Linked DNA regions of Mus musculus. The protein of the gene in region 7 purifies or fractionates together with the protein of the main gene of each other region. This does not show direct contact. Links are inferred from orthologs where the notes say so. Each region holds a gene or a part of one and is shown on either strand. Other genes may lie near its edges. The genes, in order: Kdm5a, Hjurp, Smarcb1, Arid4b, Sap30l, Cbx1 and Rbbp4.

The links.
Region 1: the proteins of Rbbp4 (region 7) and Kdm5a purify together in Homo sapiens (co-immunoprecipitation; 3 studies listed by BioGRID and IntAct, with this or other methods). This does not show direct contact. The link is inferred for Mus musculus from reciprocal best matches to the Homo sapiens genes RBBP4 and KDM5A.
Region 2: the proteins of Rbbp4 (region 7) and Hjurp purify together in Homo sapiens (affinity purification with mass spectrometry; 5 studies listed by BioGRID and IntAct, with this or other methods). This does not show direct contact. The link is inferred for Mus musculus from reciprocal best matches to the Homo sapiens genes RBBP4 and HJURP.
Region 3: the proteins of Rbbp4 (region 7) and Smarcb1 purify together in Homo sapiens (affinity purification with mass spectrometry; 3 studies listed by BioGRID, with this or other methods). This does not show direct contact. The link is inferred for Mus musculus from reciprocal best matches to the Homo sapiens genes RBBP4 and SMARCB1.
Region 4: the proteins of Rbbp4 (region 7) and Arid4b purify together in Homo sapiens (affinity purification with mass spectrometry; 5 studies listed by BioGRID and IntAct, with this or other methods). This does not show direct contact. The link is inferred for Mus musculus from reciprocal best matches to the Homo sapiens genes RBBP4 and ARID4B.
Region 5: the proteins of Rbbp4 (region 7) and Sap30l purify together in Homo sapiens (affinity purification with mass spectrometry; 3 studies listed by BioGRID and IntAct, with this or other methods). This does not show direct contact. The link is inferred for Mus musculus from reciprocal best matches to the Homo sapiens genes RBBP4 and SAP30L.
Region 6: the proteins of Rbbp4 (region 7) and Cbx1 purify together in Homo sapiens (affinity purification with mass spectrometry; 3 studies listed by BioGRID and IntAct, with this or other methods). This does not show direct contact. The link is inferred for Mus musculus from reciprocal best matches to the Homo sapiens genes RBBP4 and CBX1.

The regions. Positions count from the first base shown.
Region 1 is NC_000072.6:120,405,599-120,409,098, reverse strand, and holds part of Kdm5a (lysine-specific demethylase 5A), read right to left. Parts: intron 3,240-3,500; coding exon 3,115-3,239; intron 2,525-3,114; coding exon 2,374-2,524; intron 1,432-2,373; coding exon of another isoform or gene 1,242-1,431; exon of another isoform or gene 894-1,241; intron 855-893; coding exon 740-854; intron 1-739. UniProt on the Homo sapiens protein: Histone demethylase that specifically demethylates 'Lys-4' of histone H3, thereby playing a central role in histone code. Does not demethylate histone H3 'Lys-9', H3 'Lys-27', H3 'Lys-36', H3 'Lys-79' or H4 'Lys-20'.
Region 2 is NC_000067.6:88,264,080-88,267,579, forward strand, and holds part of Hjurp (Holliday junction recognition protein), read right to left. Parts: intron 2,580-3,500; coding exon 1,102-2,579; 3' UTR 1-1,101. UniProt on the Homo sapiens protein: Centromeric protein that plays a central role in the incorporation and maintenance of histone H3-like variant CENPA at centromeres.
Region 3 is NC_000076.6:75,908,115-75,911,614, forward strand, and holds part of Smarcb1 (SWI/SNF-related matrix-associated actin-dependent regulator of chromatin subfamily B member 1), read right to left. Parts: coding exon 3,405-3,500; intron 2,168-3,404; coding exon 2,040-2,167; intron 1-2,039.
Region 4 is NC_000079.6:14,192,784-14,196,283, reverse strand, and holds part of Arid4b (AT-rich interactive domain-containing protein 4B), read right to left. Parts: intron 2,919-3,500; coding exon 2,703-2,918; intron 955-2,702; coding exon 808-954; intron 1-807. UniProt on the Homo sapiens protein: Acts as a transcriptional repressor. May function in the assembly and/or enzymatic activity of the Sin3A corepressor complex or in mediating interactions between the complex and other regulatory complexes.
Region 5 is NC_000077.6:57,800,211-57,804,436, forward strand, and holds the start of Sap30l (histone deacetylase complex subunit SAP30L), read left to right. Parts: upstream 1-1,426; 5' UTR 1,427-1,881; coding exon 1,882-2,079; intron 2,080-4,226.
Region 6 is NC_000077.6:96,787,713-96,791,934, reverse strand, and holds the start of Cbx1 (chromobox protein homolog 1), read right to left. Parts: upstream 2,801-4,222; 5' UTR 2,582-2,800; intron 1-2,581. UniProt on the Homo sapiens protein: Component of heterochromatin. Recognizes and binds histone H3 tails methylated at 'Lys-9', leading to epigenetic repression. Interaction with lamin B receptor (LBR) can contribute to the association of the heterochromatin with the inner nuclear membrane.
Region 7 is NC_000070.6:129,318,371-129,321,870, forward strand, and holds part of Rbbp4 (histone-binding protein RBBP4), read right to left. Parts: coding exon 3,484-3,500; intron 2,177-3,483; coding exon 2,099-2,176; intron 151-2,098; coding exon 74-150; intron 1-73. UniProt on the Homo sapiens protein: Core histone-binding subunit that may target chromatin assembly factors, chromatin remodeling factors and histone deacetylases to their histone substrates in a manner that is regulated by nucleosomal DNA.

The DNA.
Region 1 (3,500 bases), on a different chromosome or scaffold from region 7:
ACAGCTAACAAGATGCAATAAAACAAGAATGTAACTGATACTAAGATATTACAAACTAAGATCTTATAAAGGCAGGTGCTTCCACTATCTGGCCACCTTTAAGATTTTTCTATGATCATTAAATAATAATAGTCCTAGAAATGTCAGAGCCCTGATTTTTAAGTGTCATGCATTATTAATGATTTATCACTATACTCTCTGTTCTTTTTATGTACACTGCACTTAAAATACATTTGTGTTAGATGGAACTTTGACTCAAAATTAGCATAGAGAAGAATAATTCTAAAGTACTCATAGTTCAGGATTTTTAAATGGAATAAAGGCCAAGGGATCAGAGAAATGATGATTTAGTGGTTAACAGCACTAGCACTGGCTGCTGCTCCAGAGGACCCAAGTGTGATTCCTAGTACCTACATGGTAAAGAAAATGGCCTGTAACTGCAGTTCCAGGGGATCTGATGCTCTCTCTCCTAGCCTCCATGAGTACTGTACACACATGGTGCACAGATATACACGGAGGCAAAACAACTTGAAAAAAAAAAGCCAAGAGTCTGCCCAGTCTTTCTAAAGGTAGTCTATCTAAATCTCAACTCTCTAAATTTTGTATCTCATATGTATACTATCTAAGATTTCTTAAGATAGCATATATAGGGAGGAATACACAGACCCTAACACTAGTCTATACATACAATTCTAATTTGGAACAGAAGCTCGTAAATAAAACAAAAAGAATATTTCACCTTTACTTGTCGAGTTTGGCTGATGACACACGGAAGACTAACAAGTTGTTGGACAAAGGCCTTCAATTCTTCTACTGTCAGTTTGGTCCGAGTCTTCCCACTATCTGAGCTCTGCCTGATATGAAATAATATTGAGACATAGAAAAATACAGTCAATCTGATATCAAATGGGGCTCCTACTCTCCTATGAATTAAAGCCTTAGAAATCCTAGAATTCTAGTGTTGAATAATTCCCCCCAGATAATTATCAAGAAATAGTAACAGTCCTTCTAATCTATAACTACTATACATTTGACCATTAAATAAATTCCCATGGTAGAACATGAAGACCACTGAGAAAATGAAATCCTTGTATCTTAAAGAGGCTCACACTGGGAACATAGGGTTTTGATCTGCTTTAGACTACTGAACCCCCTAAATACATCCCAAATTCTGTTTTGTTTTACTATAGCTCTTTCTATTTTCTGTGTATGGATGTTTTGCTTGCACATATGTCTGTGTGTCACATGAGTGTGGTGCTCAAGGAGGAGCAAGGGCATACATAGATCTCTTGAACTGAAGCCATGTGAGTACTGGGAACTGAACCTGGGACCTCTGCAAGAACAGTCAGTGCTCTTAACCATGGAGCCAACTCTTCAGTCCCCCAAAATCTTTTACACGTACACTTATTTTGAAACAGGTCTGAGCTCTGCCTGATACGAAATAATACTGAGACATAGAAAAATATGGTCAAGTTTTCCTAAAAGCAAGTTAATATCCACTGGAAAATGTCTCTAGCAAAGGTTCTCTGATTAGATTTAAAAAAATAAAAACTTAAAATCGAATGTAAAGTACTATAGAAATAGCCACACAGATAGAAGAAATATATTGAATAACTATAAAATAATACCACAGAAATTGTTTATAAAATAGGAAGGAAAGTCAGAAGAAGAAAGAAGTGAACAAGCTGCCTCAGATATGGCAGGAAAACCCCAAGCTGAATGAAAAACAATCGGGAACCCTAAACAAGAGCATACTTGGTATGTACGAATAACAGCAAGTCAAAGAGTGTTGCAGAATGGAATAAGTTTATTGAAGAAAAGAAAAATGTAAAATTAGAAAGGTAACTTCTTCTAAAAAGTCAATCAGTTCTAACAAAAGGTAGAAAATAAAGCTAATTGTCTGAACTCAAAATAGTTTATTCATATTCAAATCTTTTGTGATTAAGCATCCTGAGCCATGCTGCTAAGAAACCTCTATTTTCTGGATGTTGTGGTGCATACCCTTAACCTCCCCACAACGGGCAAGTGGATCTCGGGGAACTTGAACCTATGTGTCTAAGATTTTTGTTACTTCAGATAAAGTTGAATATACAGCTAGGTCTTTGTCACAAGGATACTGCATAAACTTCAGTATTATTTTCAGCATTGAAACTAGCAGGTCTTTTGCTGTTTTCTTAGTGTAGTTTACAACTAGCTTAAATTTAAAGAACTTCTGACAATTTATGATCATGGAGAAGGAAGGATTGGAGAGGAAGAATGGGAGTTACTAGGGATGGAAGAAACATGGCCACTGGAGCAAAATATAAAATAGGGCCTCATAGGCCAATTAAAGTGGAAAGACTAGGAATCCACAGAATTCTGTTCTTGGTTTACCTGTGTTTTTGCTTTTTGCTCAGAAGCAGCTGAGCCACAGAACCACAGGTCTCAGCTTCTTTCACCGCGTCCCTGAGCTTTCGAAAGAGATCATTCTCTGGGTATTTCCTATCCTCAGCATCTTCCAGCATTACTCTCAATTCAATCAAATCTGTAAAGACAAATATTATTAATAGACACAAAACAGCCATTCTACAATGGTCATAAAGATCACTTAAGAGTCACTAACATACTAGTAAAACAATGTGGCTTTGAAAGTCTCTAGTATAAAACCTTCTGATCAGATGTTTATTCCCAACAGATGACTTCACTCAAATAAGGTATATTTGACCTGTCTCCTTTTCCCGTATCCCAATTTGTCTCTCTTGAAAACAATCAAAAGTCTTTCAGTATCATTAAACTAAATCTGGTTCTCTAAAATACATGTCGACTACAAACTTGTCTATTTTAAGCCAGCTTTTTCATTTAAAACAGATTCTCAATAGGTGTGATAGCAATGACACCAAGGGTAGAAAGGTCATGAGACTGAGGCAACAAAGCACAGTAGATAATCTTAAAAGCCTACAGCCATAGCAAATGACCATACCTGCTATCTGATCTCAGAAGCTGAGTTATATCAGGTCTGCTAAGTACATGGACAAGAGAAAACTAAATGTATATTCAACTCTGTCATTATAAGCTAGAACTTCCATTTGTTAATGGAGAAAAAAACATATAATTAAAAAATGAAGGAAACATAACCTTTCTTATGGTTGAAGCTAGCTGACAATGCTTCTGTAACACGATTGACCCAAGTGTCATAGGATTGTGCTCTCACTTTGACACCATAAAGCAGAGATGGAAGGTCTTCTAGTGGATAGCGGTACCTACCAAAAAAAAAAAAAAAAAAAAGTAAAAAAAAAGTTTAAAAAACAGAAGTAAAAGCTTCAAAATACAACAACCTGAAAAATAGCGGGGGGAAAAATATCAGAGAAACTCCCAATTTCAATGGAGAAAGAGAAAGAGAAAGAAAAAGAGAAAGGGAAAGGGAAAGGGAAAGGGAAAGGGAAAGGGAAAGGGAAAGGGAAAGGGAAAGGGAAAGGGAAAGGGAAAGGGAAAGGGAAAGGGAAAGGGAAAGGGAAAGGGAA
Region 2 (3,500 bases), on a different chromosome or scaffold from region 7:
ATAGCAAGACAGGCTTTAAAGACAAAGTAGCAAGATTTCGTTGGCTCTGGAGCTGAAGGCAGGCCCAGATGGGTGGGCAAGGGACACAGCTGTATTCTTGGGACAGCTGGGGACACAGGCTGGAAAAGGATGCAGGTTCTGAACTAAGGTCTCCAGCGACCTTTCTTCTCATCAGAATCTCAGATTACCCCAAGGTGACCTAGACACGAGTCCACTCTCACAGTCACTTCCATAGTGATTTCTGGAGCAGGCCACCAAGGCACACCACGATAGCAGTTTGGTCTAGGAAAGTCAAGGGGGCTCACGAGGTTGAGGCAGCTAGACAAACAGCTCAAGGCCAAGAGCAAAGGGAGATAGCTGGTGGGAATACCCTGCCAGGGATTCCTGCCACACCAGGCAGCCAGAGACCCAGTTCAACCAGGGAAATACAGTTCACAAAGTATTTTTATCCATGGAAATAAATCAGAAAACAAAACTAGCCTCAGCATTTGGAAAGGAGGATCAGGAACTCATGGTTACCTTGACTATCCAAGGAGTCCAAGGTCAGCCCAAGCTATGCAAGACTGCCTCAAAAACCAAATAAAACATCTCCCCCACCCCCACAACCAGCGCTCTTAAGACTAAGCCGAGAGGTGTGAACAGCGTTCTGTCATGACTCAACTCATGGATTTAACACCGTGCTCTCCTGAAGGACACTCACCTACTCAGAAGCAGAAGTGAGGAAGGTGAAGATGGGGGAGTGGGGAGTAGAGACACTGTAAGTAATTCATGTTAAGAGGAAAACTGCCACTGAGAATCCCCTGAATAAGATAAAGAGACACAGTAATGGCCAAGGCTGGCTAGAGAAGCCCAAGGCACCAACATCCCACAAGAAAGGACAGAGATGATGCTGTGATACGGAGCAGGGGAGGTGGCTGGACAGAGGCCAAGTGGCTACAGGGAGCTGCAATGGAAGACTGCTCAGTACACAGGATGCCCTGGGGACCGTCCTCCAAAAGGAGAAACAAAAGTCTCTGCTGAGGTCTTCTTCCTCAAAGCAGCTGCTGACTACACATAAGCATCATGTCCAACAGACAAACACGCAATCAGCACTCAGGACACTCAGGGCCAGCCTGATGCTCCTGAGGTATCGTGAAACTTGGCCTGGTGAGCACAAGCTACCGGGTATGACAACTTGCACCTCTTTGTTGGCAGCCAAGAGTCTCTCACAAGTGTACTAGCAGTCTGTGCAGTTGAATCCTGCAGGACTCTTCTGTGACAGCCAGGAGAGATTGACCGTTTCTGGGAACTCTGTTGTGGGGAGTCTGGATTTAGTCTCTTCAAGTGCTCTGATTGACAGGGAAGAGCTGCAGCAGCTTTCATTGGCGATACTCTGCCACACGAAGTCACCTTCGCCCGCTGCGGTGACAGACAATACTTCTGATAAAGTCTGTTGAATTCTTTTTTAAGCTCATCATAGTTATCCTTCCCACAGCCTGGAGAGCCTATGCTTGGTGCTGAAATAGCTGTACTGGGCCACACTGCCTTACCAGTAGGTTCAGAATTGTGCTCTTGAAGGCCAGAGCTCAGCTGAGAATGGCTGGGGCTCCGTGACGGGCTGCCCTCTGGAGAGGGACAGCTCCTTAGAAGACAGCTCTTTGTTTTGACAGACTTTCCATTTCCCCTCAGGTCTTCTAAAGCTTCACCTGGCCTTTCTGTCTTTTCTCTGCCGAAAGGTGAACTGGGCCTGCAGGTTTCTACATCCTGACGGCTGCCTGGGCTCTTAGAACCACTTCTGTACACATCGACAGCCCAAGACTCTGTGGGGTCAGTCAGGCGAGGCTGTTTCCCAGAAGACAGGCAATATTCCTGATGAAGCTTGTCAAATTTGATTTTAATCTCTCTATACCACTTCTCTACTTGACTTGGAAGCATCCTTGGTCTGGGAACCACCTTGACGGGTGAAATTAGCCACTGTAATGTCATCACCCTATTTTCTCGCTCACGGTTTAAGTCCAAGTCCTTCTGCGGCATCATCTGGAGCTCCTTCCAAGCTGGACTGGATTTATGGACTTGGCGTTTGCTTCCTTCAAGAGAAACGCTTTTCAGTTCTAAGCCTGTCTTGTGGGGAGCAACGTGCAGTAAATTCCCGTAGTCTCTTAATATTCCGGCCTCTTTCCCGGGCTCTGAGCAGGACGCAGGCCCCTTCCTGGCACTCCTCTGGGAGGGCTTGCTCCGGGGGCAGTGTGTCCTGTTCTTGTGCAGCCCCTGCTTGCGTGAGGGTCTCCTCCGGAGCTTCCAGCTCTGGTTGATGTAGGTCTTGGTGGAGATGATGCAGGATGGCTTTGAGCGCAGCAGCCTACTCATGGAATGCATCATGCCTTCATACAAATCGCTGATTGTCACATTGCAAAGGTCATCAACCTCAAAGGACTGGCTGCTTACGCTGTTGCTGCTGGTCCCAAGTAAGGAGAGGCCATCACTTCTAGCCACAATGGCCATATCAGCTGGGCAAGGGTATGAGGGACCCTGGCCTCTAGAGGACAAAGCAGATACTTCAGGACCACCAGAGCTCTTTGCAGAGATAGCATCCTGGCATCCTAGGAGAGAAATAGACAAAGTCAAGAGAAACCACCATTCAATCCACCCATACTTACCCACCGGGCAGGGAGCTCAAGAGGGCATCACAAACCATGACAGTTTAAATAAATAAATAAAACCCCAGAAGGGTTAAGGAGCAGACTTTATTTCAGCAGTCAAAATTGGATTTCTAATCTTCCACTCCAGCTTTGCAAAAGGACTCTTCTCCCCTTACACTGTTTCGAGATGGCTTCCGCTTAAAAGCCAATACAATACACACATAGATGAAAACCTCAAAAAATTAATTAGAAAAATTCTACCATCGTAAACATTTTAATAAGAAAAGCCAACAAAGGGGACAGAAGAGATGTCTCAGGGCTTAAGAGCCTTGCTGCTCTTCCAGAGCATCCGAGTTCGGTTCACAGCACCATACCAGGCAACAAATGCCTTTAATTGCAGCTCCAGGGGCATCTGGCCTCTGTAGTCTGTGAAACCTGAATACACACACACACACACCCCACAAACATACATGGCAAAAAAACCAAACTGTAAATAACCCCAAACTCCTGACCTCTAGAGGGAGGGCCAGGAAGGCGGTACCCACGCAGCTATGACTTCTACATTACACGAGTACTTCATAGATCTCAAAAAGTAAAACCCAACCTACAGAAACAGGAACAGCCCCAAATGGAGCACTTGAGACAGGCTACCCCAGTGATGACCACTGAAGCAGCTGCTAAACGCAGTGGGTGCTGCCCGAGCCAGTCTAATACAAAAGTGGCCACAAAGGACATCGTGGGTCAGTTGGAAAAATTGTAGCATGCCAATGAGAAGTTTTTGGCACATTCTAAACTTGTCATAATCACTGAGAAGCACCCAGTCCTTGGGAAGTACATGTGAAACATTTAGGGGCATGTACTTGGCTATATATATGACCCAAA
Region 3 (3,500 bases), on a different chromosome or scaffold from region 7:
TGAGCAGTGAGCACGCAGCTGGACTGAGCCGGAGCGACGCCTTGGGCATCTCTGGAACTACAGATACTTGCCATGCCAAGGCCCTGAAGCCTCTCACCCTTCTCACCCTGGAGTTCTCACCCTTCCTAAGGCTGCGACACTTTAATGCAGTTCCTCATGTTGTGGTGACCCTCAACATAAATTCTTTCATTGCTACTTCATAACTGTCATTTTGCTACTGTTATGAACTGAAATGTAGGTATCTGATATGCGACCTCAAAAGGGGTCATGATCCACAGGTTGAGAAGCACTACCCTGAGCTAACTGACTCCCAAGAGGGCGGAACCTCACACTCACACACTGCTGTCACTGCTCTGTGTTCATGTTTGTTGTTAGAGCCTTACAGCCTAGCTTAGGCTGACCGTGGCTTGCCCTCTTCCCACGACAGTGCCTGATTTGAGAAGTGCCCTTTTTGTTTTGTTTTGGAACAGGGTCTCACTATGTAGCTCTAGCTGTCCTGAAACTCACTATATAGAGCAGGCTAGCCTCGAGCTCACAGAGATCCGCCTGCCTCTGCCTCCTGACAGTGCTGGGATTAAGGACATAGAACACCACCACCCAGCTCCAGCTTTATTATTTTTTTCCTACTGTGTGTTTCTTTTTTTTAAATATTTTTTTATTACGTATTTTCCTCAATTACATTTCCAATGCTATCCCAAAAGTCCCCCATACCCTCCCCCCACTCCCCTACCCACCCACTCCCACTTTTTGGCCCTGGCGTTCCCCTGTACTGGGCCTCTCTTTCCAGTGATGGCCAGCTAGGCCATCTTTTGATACATATGCAGCTAGAGTCAAGAACTCCGGGGTACTGGTTAGTTCATGTTGTTCCACCTATAGGGTTGCAGATCCCTTTAGCTCCTTGGATACTTTCTCTAGCTCCTCCATTGGGGGCCCTGTGATCCATCCAATAGCTGACTGTGAGCATCCACTTCTGTGTTTGCTAGGACCCGGCCTAGTATCACAAGAGACAGCTATATCAGGGTCCTTTCAGCAAACGCTTGCTAGTGTATGCAATGGTGTCATCGTTTGGAAGCTAATTATGGGATGGATCCCTGGATATGGCAGTCTCTAGATGGTCCATCCTTTTGTCTCAGCTCCAAACTTTGTCTCTGTGACTCCTTCCATGGGTGATTGTTTTTAATTCTAAGAAGGGGCAAAGTGTCCACACTTTGGTCTTCGTTCTTCTTCAGTTTCATGTGTTTTGCAAATTGTATCAGCTTTATTATTTTTAATTAATTAATTTTATGTATATAAGCACACTGTAGCTGTCTTCAGACACACCAGAAGAGGATCAGATCCCATTTCAGATGGTTGTGAGCCATATCCTCAGTGTTGCTGACTCTCCTCCCTGTTTTTTCCATGCTAATTTTTTTTTGGGGGGCGGGGTTCATTCACACTGTGGATTTTTACAAATGATTTTACTTGATCTTCTATGTCGCCGGCTGAATCAGGCTGGTCCTTAGAGCAGTGTACCACCACATGTTTATTTATTTACTGAGAGCTGTGAGTATGTAGGCAGGCAGGCAGAACCTTCTCTAATGCATGCATTTATTCCCTTTAGGTTGGGTTTGTCTACAAGGCAGACTATATTAACCATGTCCTCATTTTGTCTCTCAATCACCTTGCTTCTGCTTTCTGCCAGGAGCTGAAGCAGTGTGAGGCCTCAACAGATGCACACCTTATTCAGCAGCTGAACCTTGAGCTTCCTAGCCTTCAGAGACACATTATATTTATTTATTTATAAATTACCCAGGTTTGGGTATCTTGCTACAGCAATAACAAAAAAAAAAAAAAAAAAAAAAAAAAAAAAAACAACCTCTAAGACACATGCCCAGTCCACAAGGAATAGGCACACAGCAGAGCCAGAATGAACCGGAGTTTATAACCTTAAGATCCATGCCACAGAGCTTCAAACGTCAAGTCTAGACTCTGCCCCATGGGCAGCTGGAGAAAAGTGGATATTTTGAATAAGGCTCAGGCAAAAACCAGCTATCACATACCATTCATGTTCCAGGTAAAAGCGTCTCGCAGCTTCTGCCCGTCGATCTCCATGTCGAGCCGGATGGGCACCAGCACCTCAGGCTGTGACGCATTCTCATGGATCACAGCTGGGTCGTGGTCATCAAAGCTGAAAGCGTAAGGGCAGCAATGTCAGTCAGGGCTCCAGGGTTCCCTGGGTCCAGGTCCCCAGAGACACAGTGTCTGGCTTCCTAGTGCACTGTAGGTCCCTGCGTTGGAAGAGAGACGCCATTTCTTCTAGGCATTTGTTATCTAGTCCTGGGGCAGCACAGAAGAGGTTGTCAGGAGTCCCCAGGCCAGTCTAAAGGAAGTGCAGGGGGCAGTAAACAGGGTCAAACATGTCTAGGTGACGGTCTGCACGGGGCCAGGCAGTGTGCTTCCTGAATGCATGGAAGAGCCAGGAAGCTTCTGCCCTGAAAGAAGAAAACCTAGATATGCTAGCAGGCTCTGGACGCTCGTGCCTGTATCCCAGCACAGGGAAGGCTGAGACTTACTGCCAACAGTCTGAGGTCAGGTTGGGATACAGAGTGAGACCCTGGCTCAAAAAAACAAAAATTACCTCTTCCCCTTAAAGCTCAGAATTTTTCAGAAAACTAGTGGAAAAACACTAAGAGCCACAGGTCAAAGCTTAAGGGGGAGGGCCATAAGACAGGATGGAGGGAGGGGACCATAAAAGGCAGTGTCTTCTAGAGGCCCACTGCACTCACCAACTCAAAGCAGCTGTGCTAACCGCTCATGATATGCACAAAACCAAGTCAGCATGCATGGACAGGGAGGCCCCACGTTACATGTCCTTCTAAGAAACCCAGAGGGAGCTATCACATGGAGGAGTCAGCAGGACCACAGAGGAGGCAGAGACTGGAGTGCTGTGGCTATGGCTGTAAGCTGAGGAAGGGGTGAGCAGCAGGGCCTCTGAAGGGAGCAATGCCTGCCTACATCCTCACTTTGGCCTGTGACCCTATTTCAGACTCCTGACTTCTAGACTAGGAGAAACTAAATCCATACTGTTGTAAGTCACTACAGTGGTTTGTTTCAGCAGCCACAGAGAACTGACACAGTGAGAGTCAAGTGGGTATTCCCTGACACCCTCCAGATTGGCGGTAGGCATCGGACGGAACATGCTACAGGGACAGCCTAGGGACTGTGCCCCCAACAATTACACTTAGTTCCAGGGAAGAAGAAGGCCTAGCGAGCACAGCAGGGGGTCAGGGAGGATACGGAGCACCAAGGATGGTGTCCTGGAAGGACGAGGACAGCATCTGAGGCAGAGGCAGGGTGGCATCTGAGAAGGAGACCAAAGCACACTGGAATCTGTGCAGAGGCCAAGCTCGGCGGCGCTTACTCACCACAAGGGGAAGGTTCTCTTCTTGTCCCGACCCATGCGGTTCCTGTTGATGGTGGTGGAACAGGGCACAGCATCCAGGTGGTGGGAGCTGTTGGGC
Region 4 (3,500 bases), on a different chromosome or scaffold from region 7:
CCAGTCACTGAAATGACTACAGAGACCCAGTTCCATCTCTAGAACCTATGTAAAAAAGCAGAGCCTGGTGGCCAGGCAGCTTAGCCTATGAGCAAGGCTCAGGCATATGAAATACGCTGTCTTAAAAAATAAGGTATCTGAGGTTGTCCACACACATGCAAACACATAAACACAGGTGGAAGGAGAGAGTAACTACAGTGCATGGAGTCTACACTCTCTTGCTTTTACTTTGGTTTAGACTATGAGACAGGGTCTCACTATATAGTCCTGACTCAGCTTGAATGTTGTTATAACAAAGAGAAGATGGACAACCTAAAAATCCTGAAGTAATCACTCCACAAGTATGGATGTACAGAAATACCATACTGTGCCCATTAGATGTGTGATTATCTGTCAAAGAATTCTTTAAAACAAAGTCATTACAATAATACCAGGCACAAAGGAAATGCAAAATACAGGATTTGTTGAATGAGTATGCACAAATCAGATCTTATGATCTGTGCATTATGCTAAACTTCTTTTTTGACAAACAATTTTACTACGTAGCCCAAGCTGACCTGGAGCCTCCCACTCTTGCTATATCCCTGCCTTCTTAATGCTAAGTCTACAGCCATTTGCCACCCAGTGAAGGCCTAACATCCCTATTTATCTTTATACTGAGGGTATACGCCTTGTGAGTAGGCACTGTGATGTCATTAACAGATGAAGCTGACAGCGTAAAGAATTTGGCTACAGAAACAACAGACATAGTCCTTCCTCAAAAGCAATGTAATAAACGGAAATTATGTTTAAGGAAAAAGTACTTACTTTCTCTCTCTTTCTTCTTTAAACGTTTTCTCCTCCTATCAATGGAAGCTACTTCAGATTTTAAAGACAGATAATGCTTTCTGATTTCTTGCAATTTTTCTTGAAGAATTGAGATACGTTCAGCACTTGTCATATTTTCCAGGTCCGCTGTTAATTTAAAAGCCTCATTAATAAGTATTTTGGGAATAAAAGTTAATAAAAATGAAAAAAAGCCAATGTAGTCTTAGAGTAAGGTCTAAGACAGGTAACTACAAGAAACAACTTTCCATGTGTGTTGGTGCACACCTGTTATACCAGCTAAAGCACACACACACAAAACAAAGACATCAAAATATAGCTCTACTCCCTGCCCTTTGACTACAATAACCAGACACAATGAAATGTACAGTACAGGGTTTGTTGAATGAACACATACAAACCAAAGACTTTATAATCTATGCATTATGCTAAAACTCTTCTTTTGAGCAAACAGGGTCTTGTTATGCAGCCCAAACTGACCCGGCCTTCCATTCTTGCTGTCTCTGTTTTCTGAATGCTAGGATTATAGAGCTGTCCCCAGCTCTACTAAGTTTTCTAGTTATACACAACACTGCCACAGTGTATGAGTTAAAATAGCCAATGGAGCCTGGCTATACCTGGTATAGGCTATGGTGAAATACACCTTTAATCCCAACACTTGGGGGCAAATGAAGGAGGCTGCCTCTGAGTCCCAGGTCAGCCTGGCCTATACAGTCAGTTCCAGACCAGACAAGGCTACATAACCAGACTGTGTCTCAAAAACAAAACAAAACAAAACAAAACAACCCACCAACCCAGTTATGATGGCAGGCTTGAGATTCTAGCCCCCAGGTAACTAAGGCAGGGATTGCCTTGAGTTTGAAGGCAACCTTATCTATACACTGAGTACCCAGCCAGACAGGCTATATAGCAAGATCTTGTTTCAAAAAGGAAAAGTATATTTACAAATATGGTGCAAAGACACCAAAAGGTTAAAATTGTATTTTGGAAGAGAAAGGAGACGGGGGTCTTATTTTGTAATCCATGTTAGTCTCAAACTCTCAATCCTCCAGTCTCAGACTCCTGAGCTCTGAGAGTACAGGTGGGTGGACCCATACCTAGCTACCATACGATGTTTTTCTTTAAAAGACAAAGTAAGAAAAAGATTTATTTTTATTATTATTATTTTTAAAGATTTATTTATTTTATGTATGTGAGTACACTGTAGCTGTACAGACGGTTGTGAGCCTTCATGTGGCTGTTAGGAATTAAATTTAGGACCTCTGCTTGCTCTGGCCGGCCCCGCTCACTCCAGCCAAAAGATTTACTTATTATTATACACAAGTACACTGTAGCTGACTTCAGACACACCAGAAGAGGGAGTCAGATCTCATTACAGATGATTGTGAGCCACCATGTGGTTGCTGGGATTTGAACTCAGGACCTTTGGAAGAGTAGTCAGTGCTCTTACCCACTGAGCCATCTCACCCACTCCTATTTTTACTATTTTTAATTGGGTATGTGTGGTCTATGTTCCTGAGTTCAGGTGCCCAAAGAGGACCAAGGTATCAGAGCCCCTGAGTTACAGTTGTGAGATGCCTGACATGGGTGCAGGAAATTGAACTGCCCTCCTCTGGAAGAACATACTCTTAACTAGTAAGCCATTCCTCCGGCACCCTACACTGTCTCCAGGCAGATTCTCAGCCTTACATGTACTCAGTGCTGGCTAGCACCTGTCTTAATATTTTCTTTTAGCAATTTGTTCATTCTAATCAGGATCTTAGTAAGGTCTATACTATGCCATGTCTCTCAGGCTCAGTGTAGTTTCTTTTTTAAAGCCCCGGCATCAGGAGTAACTAAGACAAAACTCCTACATCTAAACTACATATGTCACTTACACGTCTGAAAACTCCACTTGTAAACCTTGGGAAGCCGGTTACTAGGCTCCTTGAGATCAGGGTCTTTATCCCCATTCCTGCCACCTTTTCCTGGAGACTGTACCCTTGCTGGAGACTTGCTGTTGTGGGTCTTCATTCCGGTGGGGACTGACTTGATTGTCTGAGTCTTAGTCACACTTTCACCAGCTGAGAGTTCTTCACTGTCACTACTGTTTGCTGAAAGAGAAAGAAACCATCAGTAAACAAAAGTTGGTCAAACTATCATCAACTTACGAGGATAACTCTAAATATACCACTTGATTTTTCTACTACAGTAAACAATCTACCTAGAAATCCTAGAAAATCGGTGTTGAAGATTTAGCTCAGTTGTGTAATGCTTGCCTAGCAAGCCCAAGTCCCTGGGTTCAGCCCCCAGCACTGGAAAAATAAAACCTAGAAAAAGCACATGCGTATGCAGACATAGCTCATCCAAGGGAAACAAATGCCAAAGTCTTCCCACCTATATTGCCAATAGGTATGAACTCGTTGCACTGACCTTCCATTCTGCTAGCTTTACTATGAAACACAGTGAGCCAGTAGCTGATGCACCCACATACCTATATCACAGATGCTTCACTCAGTCACAGGCTCTTACCTAGCTAAAGAGCTTTTTACTCTGTTGGAATAAAGGATTCCTTGTAGGAACGTCTTCATTATCTACACAACTCTAGTACACAGCAACATGTAGCAATTCCACTGCCACAGTAGTACATATCACCATCACTAATAGATTCCTTAACCTCTTTACACTCAATAGCT
Region 5 (4,226 bases), on a different chromosome or scaffold from region 7:
ACAGTGGCCTTAAATTTTTATCTGGTAGGTGTATTTTCTAACATACTGTCTCCTGTGTGAAATTAATAAAAGTAAACTGTACAAACGCACTTTTAGACCTCTGGAGAGAATTTAAGAGCTTTCCGGACACCCATCCCATAACCATACCTCTCCCCCACAACACTACTGACTGTAGGACCCGACCCTCAGAAAATTCCCTGTGTCCTTGCATCAAGGACGAGGTGACACCCTGGTCTTGGCAGGGTGCGGTGGCCTCCTCCCGGGTTGGTCTGAGTTAGCTTGAAGCAATAAAACTACAAATCAGTCTCTAACAAGTCTGAAGGTGAGTCCTCCGTTGGTGGCCTAAGGGCTTTTCACCTTTGCCTCAGCCCACAAAGTCCACCCTGAAGATCAACCCAGGCCAGGGTTGCTCTGACGCTGGGCTCTCCTCCTTAAGTCCCTTCTTCCTTGGTGCCCGCTGTACTCAAAGATTTCTAGTTCACCTGTCCGACCTCTCCTGTCTCTCAGTGCCTCTTTACGCGCATATGCACTTCCTCGTTAGCTTCATGTCCCACACCATGCACCCTGTCTCCCGCTGCCGCGTAGATCCTCCAGCCCAGGCTTTTCCGTTTTGCCCAGTCTGTTCTCCTGGCAGCACTTTCTCCCTAAGGTCTCCTTCCCATACCCTTCCCTTGTCCCTCAGTTTTCCTCCGCACGTCGATGCTTCAGTCCACTGCGAACGTGATCTCTGCTGCAAGTCTGTCCCTGCTTCCCGCAGACCCCACTCAACATAGGAGACCTTGCGGCCTGTCAGATCCGGCTTAGCATTTCGTTCCATAACCGGCTTGCTCACAACCCCACTATGGAGCCGGACCTCTGCTCAGGATCCCGCGCTGGGATTGGGAACCTGCTCAACATCCCATCCCGGAATGGAGACCCTGCGACCCTCCATATCCCGCTCAGCACCACTCCCTGAGGTGGAGGCCCCGCGTCCCTCCTGACCTAACACAGCATCTCGCCCCAGAGCCAGAGGACCTCGCTCACCATTCCTGGCCCGGACCAGGACATCTTGCATTCTTCCAGACCCCGTTCAGCATCCCTCGCGGAGCGAGGTCCCTATTTACCATCCTAACGGCCTAGAACATCCTGCATCCCTCCAGACCCATCTCAGCATCCCACTCCACAACCAGGACTAAACCTGCGGCCCGCTGTCCTCTCTAGCCCGGGTAACTCTTCCCTCTTGCACTTTCTCTACTTTGAACCCATCCCAGCAGAGTCCAGGAAGTAGCCTGGCACCGGAGACCGGCAGCGATGGCGCCCAATGGGAACTGCCAGCGGCGACGTGGGCCCCGCCTACATAAAGAATACGACCATTGAGCGCACAGAGGCGGGACTTCCGCTGTGCCGCGGCGGGCGGGGGAGCGCACTGTTGTGGTGCGGCGCGTCGGGCGGGCGGCGGCCGGGGCGGCCCAGGGGCTGCCGCGGGGACTCGGGGCGCCGCCGAGCGGCCAGGCGCTGGGGCGGCCCGAGCACACCGCGGGGCCCGGACACGGCAGGTTCGAGGCCGGGCCCCCGCGCGGGGAGCCACGGGGTGGAGACTTTGCCGCGCGGCGCGGAGCAGGCGGGAGCCGGCGGGGGCCTCGGGAGCCCCAGGGCGGCCGGGCCCGGATCCCGGGGGAAGCCTCGTGAGCCCCGGCCGGAGCCTCGGCGTGTGCATCCCCGCCGGGGCCCGGGCTGCAGGAGCACAGAGCAGCCGGGCCTCGCGGAGCTCGGAGCGCGCCTGACCCAGGGCGCACCGTGGGACCCGGGCGCGGGGCTGGCGAAGAGCTGCCCCGCGGGGCTAGCAGCCGCGGAGTGGCCTACAGGGGTCCTCCCCCGGAGGGGCCGGGCCGGGGCGGGGAGATGAACGGCTTCAGCACAGAGGAGGACAGCCGCGAAGGGCCCCCTGCCGCCCCCGCCGCCGCCCCGGGCTACGGCCAGAGCTGCTGCCTCATCGCGGACGGCGAGCGCTGCGTCCGGCCCGCGGGCAACGCCTCCTTCAGCAAGAGGGTGCAGAAAAGCATCTCGCAGAAGAAACTCAAGCTGGACATAGACAAGAGCGTGAGTCTCGGGGCATAGCGCAGGGCCGCGGGAAGGGACCCCGGGGACGCTCCGCGCGGTGGGCCTCGCCGCGCAGTCTGTGCAAAACAGGGGACTCAGGTTCTTGGAGGCCGCTCGGTGCTCCGCGACGCTGCCCGCGTCCCCGAGGGTGGGCTGGGAAACCAGGGAGGGCTTGGCACACTCTCCCTGCCTGGGAAAGCGACAGCAGTTTCCAGCTGTCACTGTTGCGCCGAATAGCAGAGCAGAGAGAGGTGGGTTACTTTTGCAAGAATTGGGCAAAAGAGGTGACAAGGGAACCGGGAGGATCTTCTCCAACTTCGTCCTCCCTCCAGGGACCTTGTCGCTCTTTCAGACACTAGCAAGGTGGCCGCGACTTTCCTGTCTGCCGCGGCCTCCGGTCTCTGCAGCGCAACACAGAGCCCGCTTCGCTGGCAGCGAATGAGTTTTTCTGAGATGTGGCAGAAATAAGGCCAAGGCCGGGTCTTAAATGATTTGCTGTGGATGTGATTGAAGGGGGCGGGGAATCAGCTTTCTTGCGGGGATTAGCATCTTTGGTAATGCCGTTGGAGGTGGAGAGGTGCAAATTTAAAATGGAATGAGATTGCCCTATGCCTTGTGGCTAATTATAAGAAACTTCCTGAGTGATTTCACCTACTCTGGTCCTCAAGATGTGCCTACTGCCAACCGGTTAAGAACTTTTCAGTTTGACATCTGTTGCTGCAAGCCCTGAGTGGCAGCTTCCAGGTTAGGAATTGAGACTGAGTTAAGGAACTTCTCATATTCAGGAGTTTGAATGATTACTGTTCAACGGTTTGGGGAAATCAGACATTGCTTGGTAGCGGGAAAGGGAGCCGATCTTTACACTTCTGATGTGGCAGAAACTGAGGCTGGGGGCGGGGGGGTAGGAAGCAATGGCGCCAAGAGCACACTGCACTTAAAAGCTGGCTAATTTCCTAAGCCCACTTATTGCCTGGCTTGCTTCCAAACCTTACACCCAGTTTTCATTCGTCTATAATAAATAAGATCATCATCCTTTCTTCTAGACTCTTCTCTTGCACACTCAGTTTTATTTAGTCAACCAGTAGAATCCAGCTCATTTGAAATCGTGCTGGGTTTTGTTTTTTGTTTTTTTATGATTGGGACCTTCCTTTTTACAAATGTCTTGTCAGTAAATAAATGAGTGAGTGAATGAATGAATGAATGAGATTACTCTGAAGCAAAGCTGGCTAAACCCTCAGGTGTCCCCTGCTAATCACACATGGGAGTGAAAGTGATCCCGAGACTGGGGATGAGTTTATCCACATGGAAACGGTGCCTGCCTCCCGTGTGGGCTGCTGGCAGTGCTCACATCTGGATGGTTTTGTTGTTGCAGTAAAGACTCCATTTATCCACTCACCCCATGGGGAAGCCATGTGGAGCAGTGTTGAGCATGTCGATGTCACACACACTCACACACACATCATCATCATCTGGAAGAAAGGCCCCCTCTGCCCTGTACTAGCATCCCCAAAGGCAGTACTTGGGAAGGCTTGTGGTTAGATGTGCGGCCTTAGTCCATTTCAAGGTGGTAGTACAGAGTCATTATCTCTGAAACAGTTTCTATTTCATTCCACAGATGGGCAGGAATTCAGTCCCAAGTAAGTGCTGTGTTACTAGAATGTCTAGCTGTTGTAGCAAGTGAAACAGGAAAGAAAAAACAAACAAACAAACAAACAAAAAAACCCAGACAACCACAGTGAGCCTTTGCTTCCACCCTAAGGCCCCCACCTCACCCACAAAAGCCCCTGAGTCCTGAGATTGCTGAAAAGCAGATTAGACTTGAACATGGTTAAGGACAGAGAATAGCTGTCTGGTAAAAGGATCTGGCAAAAGCCCTTTTAAAATACTATAGCACCCCCCTTCAGGTGGCCACTGGCTGCCTCTGTACTGTATTAGTACATAGCCAACTTGCCGCTGATGGGTTTCTTCTTTGCTTCTGGAGAGTGCTCGAAGCTGGGGATCACATAAAGGAAACAGGCTCCAGTGTCGCTTGGGTTGCTGCCCCCTGCTCTGGTCTGGCCTCTTCCTACCTAAGCTTTAGAAACACCCCACTCTGCCACTCATTCTTCCCAGTTTACCACTATGCTGTGGGAAGCCACTTGCGCTCT
Region 6 (4,222 bases), on a different chromosome or scaffold from region 7:
ATGACCCCCACCCCCAAAGTTGTTCCTGATCTCCATAAGTATGCAATGGCACACCCCACCCCCCACTTAAAAAAAAAAAAAACAGGAAAAAGGTGGGGGGGACACCTGGAGAGATGGCTCAGTGGTTAAGAGCACCAACTGCTCTTCCAGAGGTCCTGAGTACAATTTCCAGCAACCACATGGTGGCTCAAAACCATCTGTAATGGAATCCAATGCCCTCTCCTGGTGTTTTTTGAATGTTTATGTAATGCACTCACATACATTCAATAAATAAGTCTTAAAAGAAAGAAAAATCGTAGTGGAGAGATGGCTCAGCGGTTAAGAGCACTGACTGCTCTTCCGAAGGTCCTGAGTTCAAATTTCAGCAACCACATGGTGGCTCATAACCATATGTAATGAGATCTGATGCCCTCTCCTGGTGTGTCTGAAGACAGCTATAGTGTACTTATATAATAAATAAATCTTTTTAAAAAGAAAAGAAAAAAAAAATCAAGCCACTGCCTGACACACAATAGTTTTTTTCCCCTTTCCCTTTTTCTTTTTAAAAGGATCTATCTATCTATCTATCTAATGTACATGGGTACACTGTAGCAGTACAGATAGATGTGAGCATGCATGTGATTGCTTGGAATTGAATTTTAGGATCTCTGCTTGCTTTAGCCAACCTGACTTGCTCCTGCCCAAAGATTTACTTATTATTATAAATAAGTACATGGTAGATGTCTTCAGATGCACCAGAAGAGGGTGTCAGATCCGATTACAGGTGGTTGTGAGCCACCATGTGGTTGCTGGGAATTGAACTCAGGACCTTCGGAAGAGCGGTCAGTGCTCTTAACCGCTGAGCCATCTCTCCAACCCTCCTCTACTTTTCTTAACTGCTCAGAAAAATACCTAGAAGGGAAGGTTTAAATAATCTATCATAAAGCTATTGATAAAAAGTTGAACAAACAGAAACCAGAAATGATCTTTCACTGCCCAGATCTTAAGAAGCAAAGCCTCCTTCCTCCTAGGTCTTGAACTCCTGCTGCTCCAGGCTCCACCTCCCGAGTGCTGGCTGGGATTACAGGAGTGCATGCAGCAAGGCCTAACTGGGCTCTTTTCAACACACCACTTCCCAGATATGCCTAGAGAGCATCCAGGAAGTGTATAGGCACCAATTTCTTGATTGTAGCCATACATCTACCAGAAAACCTTAGGTCTTTTGAAACTATTCCAAAAAGCTGACATGATTCTTAACACAAAACTGGAGAGGTTACCCTATGTTCTAGCATAACTCATTTTTCAAAAAACCTTTTTATGGTATTGGAACATAACTCAGTGGTAGATAACTTACATGTGTGCAAGGTCCTCAGTACCACACACCGAAATGAGTTCTATATTTCTATACTGCTTTTTAAATAAAAATATTCTCGCTGCCGGTGGGCATGCACCTGCTTTCGAGGGTCCCTGCCATTTCCCTAATTTGTAGCTCAGAGGGCAATTCTGTGAAGTCTGCTCGCTCTTTCCACCTTTACCTGGATCCTGAGAGGTAAACTGAGGCCCCCAGGCTTACGCACAAAGAACAGATCTCTTTCATTGGATGAGTCTTGCCTTACACGTGTTCTTCCACAGCCTCCCAACTCACACTGAAGACCCATTACAAGGCACAAAGTGGCCTTTTCACCCTTTCTTGACTCCCCTGGTGGCCAGGCAAGGCTTTAAACTCCTGATCGTCCTGTTTCCGCTCCCAAGGGCTACATGAATGCCATCAAGCCCAGCCCGAATTTATAAGGTACAGAGGATTGAATTCAGGCCTGTGCAGTGGGCTAGGCAAACATTCTACCAACTAAGTTACATCCCCAGGGACCCTTTATTTTCTTCCACATTTGACCAGTCACTCTAGACTTCTACCCTACCTATCCCAGCAACTCCACTTTTAGACAAGGTCAAGAAAATGCCTGACCCCCCACCCCCACCCCTAGACGGATTCAACAAATCTCTTCCCCGCTAGCACACCGTGAGCTGCCCAAATCCTCCTGTTCAAGTTTATTGGAAGTTACTTCTTCTTAACTCTGGCAAGAGAAACTTCTCTGATAGTGGCAACTGGACCCAATATCCTCAGGTTACTTTTTCTCTCTTTCCTCCAAGTGCTACGGGGGTTGCTTGCGATTGCCACCGTGTCCGCTTTCTCAGGTTACATTTCTAAACCTCGAGAGTACGAAGTCGTGGTCCCTGCCACGCACACCCAAAAGCACCTGTCCCCCTTATGGACGTCCCAAAGTTTTCTTTCTCCCGCCCAACTCTAGAGTCCCTCACTCGGGTCAAACGCTCTTGGTCCAGTTCTTGAAAAGCTAACCCTCCGCTGGCTCCGCTCATCGCGAACCACTCGGCTCCCGGGCTCTGGATTCGCTGCCCCGCCCTCTCCACACTCCCGCAACCCGCGAGCTCTGCGCGGGAAGCGGACCCGGCGGGCGCTGGGCCGGGGCGCGCCCCCCATTCCTCGGTCTCCGCTCTTCCGTTAGCGGCCCGCGCTGGTCCGCGGCCTCCCGCCGTTGCCGCGTCCCCTCCCCCCACACACCCCGCCTCCAGCCCGCCTCTTCACCTCGTAGCAGCGCCCGAGAGTCCGAGAGGAATCGGTGCCGCGCTACTCGCGCGTTGCGTCGGGCGGTCCGAGGGGAGTAGCGCGCCCAGAGGAGCAAAGAGCCGTGTGGCCACAAGTCGACCGTCCCGCTGAAGCGGCGTACCGCAGGCCCCGCTAACGGCCCTCCCCTCAGCCGAACAAAAGAGCCTCTCACTCTGCGCGGCCCGCCGCCTGCACTGCGCAGACGCGACGACCCGCCGCAGGGCACCTTGGGATTAAGAGTCGGCCAGAAACTACAGATCCCAAAGTACCGCGCGAATCCCGCGCCGCCCACCTCCACTTTCAAGGATTGTAGGGAGTTTTCGTAGTTTTGTTTTCTTTTTTGACTGGAAAGGCGAAGTCGACTGTTACTTAGAACATAACTCTACAGTCTAGGAAATTGATGGGTAGTGGTGGGGTTTGTTTGTTTAATAACAGGATACGCAGCCCAGGTGGCTTCGAACTCGTGGCCTTTCTTTTTGCTTCAAATGTCAAAGTGCTGGATTCCAGGCGCGTGCTGGTATTCCTTACTCAGTCTACAAAAGTAGGACACTGCAGGTTTGGAAACTAGCCCGTTGATGTTTGGTCCGTTTGCGTTTAAAAGAAAAATATTGTATTCGTCACCTGAGATTTATCAAATCACCTTCAATAATGTCCAGCAATCTTACCTATTATTGCCACCTGACTGGGGTTCCTACCTCTCAGTTTGAATCACTGCTCCATTCAGAAAGCAGTAGATTAACCGTCTAGGTAGACACCATCGACACTTTCTGAATTTGCTTTTTTTCTTTCCCCTTCCTTCCCTCTCTATTCTTGTTTTATTTTTGGTTGTTGGTTCTGTTGAGTGGACAGGGTCTCAAGGAAGTCTGATCTACCTGTTTTCACTTCCCAAATGCCGAGTATTACAAACACAGACCACCACATTCAAAGTTTTCCCTTTATTGCCCTTGCCGGTGGGTGACTTTCATGGGGATTTCTCCATCTCTGTGAACATCCTTTATCAAGTTAGTCTAAAGAAACGGAATTAAGCAAAAACCACGGCTGGGCTGTCATTCTTTAACACGGGTGCTACTCTGATTCAGGTAGGTTGCTGCTAATTGTTGAACTAGGAACTCCAGTAAGGACAGACGCTTCATATGACTCATTGTGTCCACGACACTCAGGATCCTTGGTGTTTGTTTCTAGCAAGGACAAGGTCATTTTGGTTGTTTGTTTGTTTGGTTGGTTGGTTGGTTTGTTTTTGTTTGTTTTTTTGAGACAGGGTTTCTCTCAAAACTCAGTTTGTAGACCAGGCTGGCCTCAAACTCAGAAATCGGCCTGCCTCTGCCTCGAGTGCTGGGATTAAAGTTGTGCGCCACCACGCCCGGCCACAAGGTCACGTTTTGACTCTCAGTATTTATTGGTAAAAATTCCTTGAATATGTGATTAAGTGAATAACTGAGATGTCCAACTGATAATAGAACTGATCAAACTTTCCAAGGCCAGATTCAAGCCTCTTAATCCTAGTACCCGGGATTGAGACAGGAGGATTGCTGGGAGTTTAAGAGCACTTTAGCACTTAGGAGGCAGAGGCAGGAGAATTTCTGAGTTCAAGACCAGCCTGTTCTACAGAGTGAGTTCCAG
Region 7 (3,500 bases):
CAGAGGACAGCTGTTCCCAAAACACCCCCGACCCAAATAACTTCAGGGATAGGGTAACTAACATAAAACTCACCTTAGATCCCAGACATTCAGCCTACGATCGGTACCACTGGAAGCTAAGATAGTCTCATTGTGAGGTGACCACTGAACCTATATCCAGAGTGAAGAAAAAGTTAGAGAATAGAAGAGATACCTTACAAAACCTCATTAATAAAACAGAGAACACGGTTAAAGCTGAAAGATACTGCTTACATGAAAAGAACTCATTACTAAAGATAGAACTCAGCTTCTGTTGTATTTTACTTTGTTCCACAGTGTGGCTCAACAGGGCCACAGAGCATACAGCTCAAATTGGCTTCAAACTTCTGTGCCTCTTGCCTTAACCTCACACACTGAAACATAAGTTACCAAACCTAGCTTCAACTTACATCTTTGAAACCTTATTTATTTATACCTAATCCAGCTTTTAGTCAAAAGAAGTTTATTTCTGACACATAAAACTAAAATATCGACAGGTGGCATAAATCTCTTATTTTCTCAACTGCTCATTATGTACCACATAATACAGGATAGGTGTCTATCTTTCTCCTCAAAGATTCCTGATAATCATGTTAGCTATAAAAGATACAAACAACAATCACAAACTGTGTTATTTATTAAGAAAATGCTGGTTCATGGCACAAGAAAGGTATTACTAACTAATGGATTAGGGAAGAATTTAGTTATTCTTTTTTTTTTTTTTTGGTTTTTCGAGACAGGGTTTCTCTGTGTAGCCCTGGCTGTCCTGGAACTCAGAAATCTGCCTGCCTCTGCTTCCCGAGTGGTGGGATTAAAGGCGTGTGCCACCACGCCCGCCCGGCTTTAGTTATTCTTTCAAGCAAGATCACCAAAAGGAGTCCAGACAAAGATAAAATATCTCCAATACTCAAGTCTATTTAGGTGAGGATGACCTTGTATTGACTCTCCTGCCTCTTCTTTCTGCATGCTGGGATTAGTAGTCTTGATGAATGTAGAGTCTCTTCCTAGATAGTCAGGATGAACTACTTGTGACTACTTGGTTAGCTTCTTCTGCGTTGGGATTAGAGGCCTGTATTATCATGCCTGTCTTCACTATCAAATTCACGCTGGAGAGAAAAGGCTGTAAAGTGGTTGTCACAATGCCTTAGAGCATGTGTTTTAAAACAGCAGACAATTGGGCTGGTGAGATGGCTCAATGGGTAAGAGCACCCGACTGTTCTTCCGAAGGTCCAGAGTTCAAATCCCAGCAACCACATGGTGGCTCACAACCATCTGTAACAAGATCTGACTCCCTCTTCTGGAGTGTCTGAAGACAGCTACAGTGTACTTACATATAATAAATAAATAAATCTTAAAAAAAAAAAAAAAAAGATGTAAAAAAAAAACAGCAGACAATTAATTGAGTCAGGGGGACCCCTATGAAAAAGGGGGCATACAGGAGTCTAAGTAGCAATGGCTAAAATAGTAAAATTATCTCAAAAAAGGTGGGGCTGGAGATATGGCTCAGAGTACTGGCCAAACTTCTAGAAGACCAGTGTTCAATTCAAAACACACACACACAGATTTTGAGACAGGATTTTTCTTATTTTGATCCACCTGCCTCTGCCTCCAAGCTGGGAGATAGGTGGGCACCACCACTCCCACTGAGCAGCAAATAATTTTAAAACGAAGAGACAAGCAATGTTGGTTCACTCCTTTAATCCTAGCACTCAGCCGGCAGACCTCTGGGTTCAAGACCAGCCTAGTCTATAAAGCAACTTCCAGTATAGTCAGGAATACACAGAAAAATCCTATCTTTAAAAACAAATCAAAAAAATAACAAAACAGCCAGAAAAAAAAAAGGAATTTAATGATTGGTCTGAGGAGAACACACAGGTACCTCCCTTCCCCCAGTTCCCCAAGTGCTGGAATTATAGGCATGGACACAATAATCCAGCACTAGTTTCTTAATATCCCAAGAAACCAAGAGGTGCAAAGATTTTTTTCAGCTCTCAAATACTACTAACTTGAGCAGATTTCCTGTAGACAAAGGAAGATGAAAGAAAGGGAAGTGAGGGGTAGGCACATTGATTTCTCTTACTTGGAATATTTCATCCTTATGGGATTCAAAGGAGTGCAACTTGAGTTTCAGATTCCTCAGATCCCACAAGGCAACAGTCTATGTGCAAAAATAAAAATAAATTACTATTAATTTATCAGATAAGAACACCCTAAAGTAACAAGATGGTTCAGCGGCTAAGGGTGCTTGCTGAGGAGTCAAATGAGTTTGATTCCAGAACCTAAATAGTGAAAGTAGAGAACAGATGTTGGAGAGCTGTCCTTTGACCTCTTCAGTTGTCACCACATATGTCCCTCCACCCCTGCCAAATACATACATAAATGTAATTTAAAAAATTTTAAGTTAAAAATTACATTCATTTATTTATATATTTTTATTTAAAATCCTGATCTACAGTTTATGCCCCTCATATATTTTATCTACTCAGTGTATACACACGTGCCATGAAAACCATGCAAAGATCAGAGGCCAACTTGTAGGAGTGGAGTTGGCCTCTCCTTTAGTCATTTGGGTCTCAGGGACTGAATTTAGATTTAGATCTTCAGGCTCCAGTCAGTGCCTTTGCTTACTGAGGCATCCTGCCAATATAATAAGCACTTTTTAAAAATTTACAAGAAAAGACAAGAAAATCTTTAACTAAAATAAAACATTAACTCAGCACCCACTTGGTGGCTCACAAATATTTGTAAAATTAAATCTCAGGAGATCTGACTTCAACAGGAACCAGGCACCATGCTCAAGACATATATGTAAGTGAAAATACCAATACCTATAAAAATTTAAAACCTCAAACAACAACAAAAATCCAAACAGGGGGCTGGAGAGATGGCTCAGTGATTAAGAACACTGACTGCTCTTCTGAAGGTCCTGAGTTTAAATCCCAGCAACCACATGGTGGCTCACAACCATCTGTAATGAGATCTGATGCCCTCTTCTGGGGTGTATTAGTCAGGGTTTCTATTCCTGCACAAACATCATGACCAAGAAACAAATTGGGAAGGAAAGGGTTTATTCGGCTTACACTTCCATACTGCTGTTCATCACCAAGGAAGTCAGGACTGGAACTCAAGCAGGTTAGGAAGCAGGAGCTGATGCAGAGGCCATGGAGGGATGTTCTTTACTGGCTTGCTCAGCCTGCTCTCTTATAAAACCCAAGACTGCCAGCCCAGAGAGGGTCCCACCCACAAGGGGCCTTTCCCCCTTGATCACTAATTGAGAAAATACCCCACAGCTGGATCTCATGGAGGCATTTTCTCAACTGAAGCTCCTGTCTCTGTGATAACTCCAGCTGTGTCAAGTTGACACAAAACTAGTCAGTACATGGGGTGTCTGAAGACAGCTGCACTGTACTCATATATAATAAATAAATCTTAAAAAAAAAAAAAATCCAAAGGAGGCAAACCTACCTTGTCAGCCGATCCTG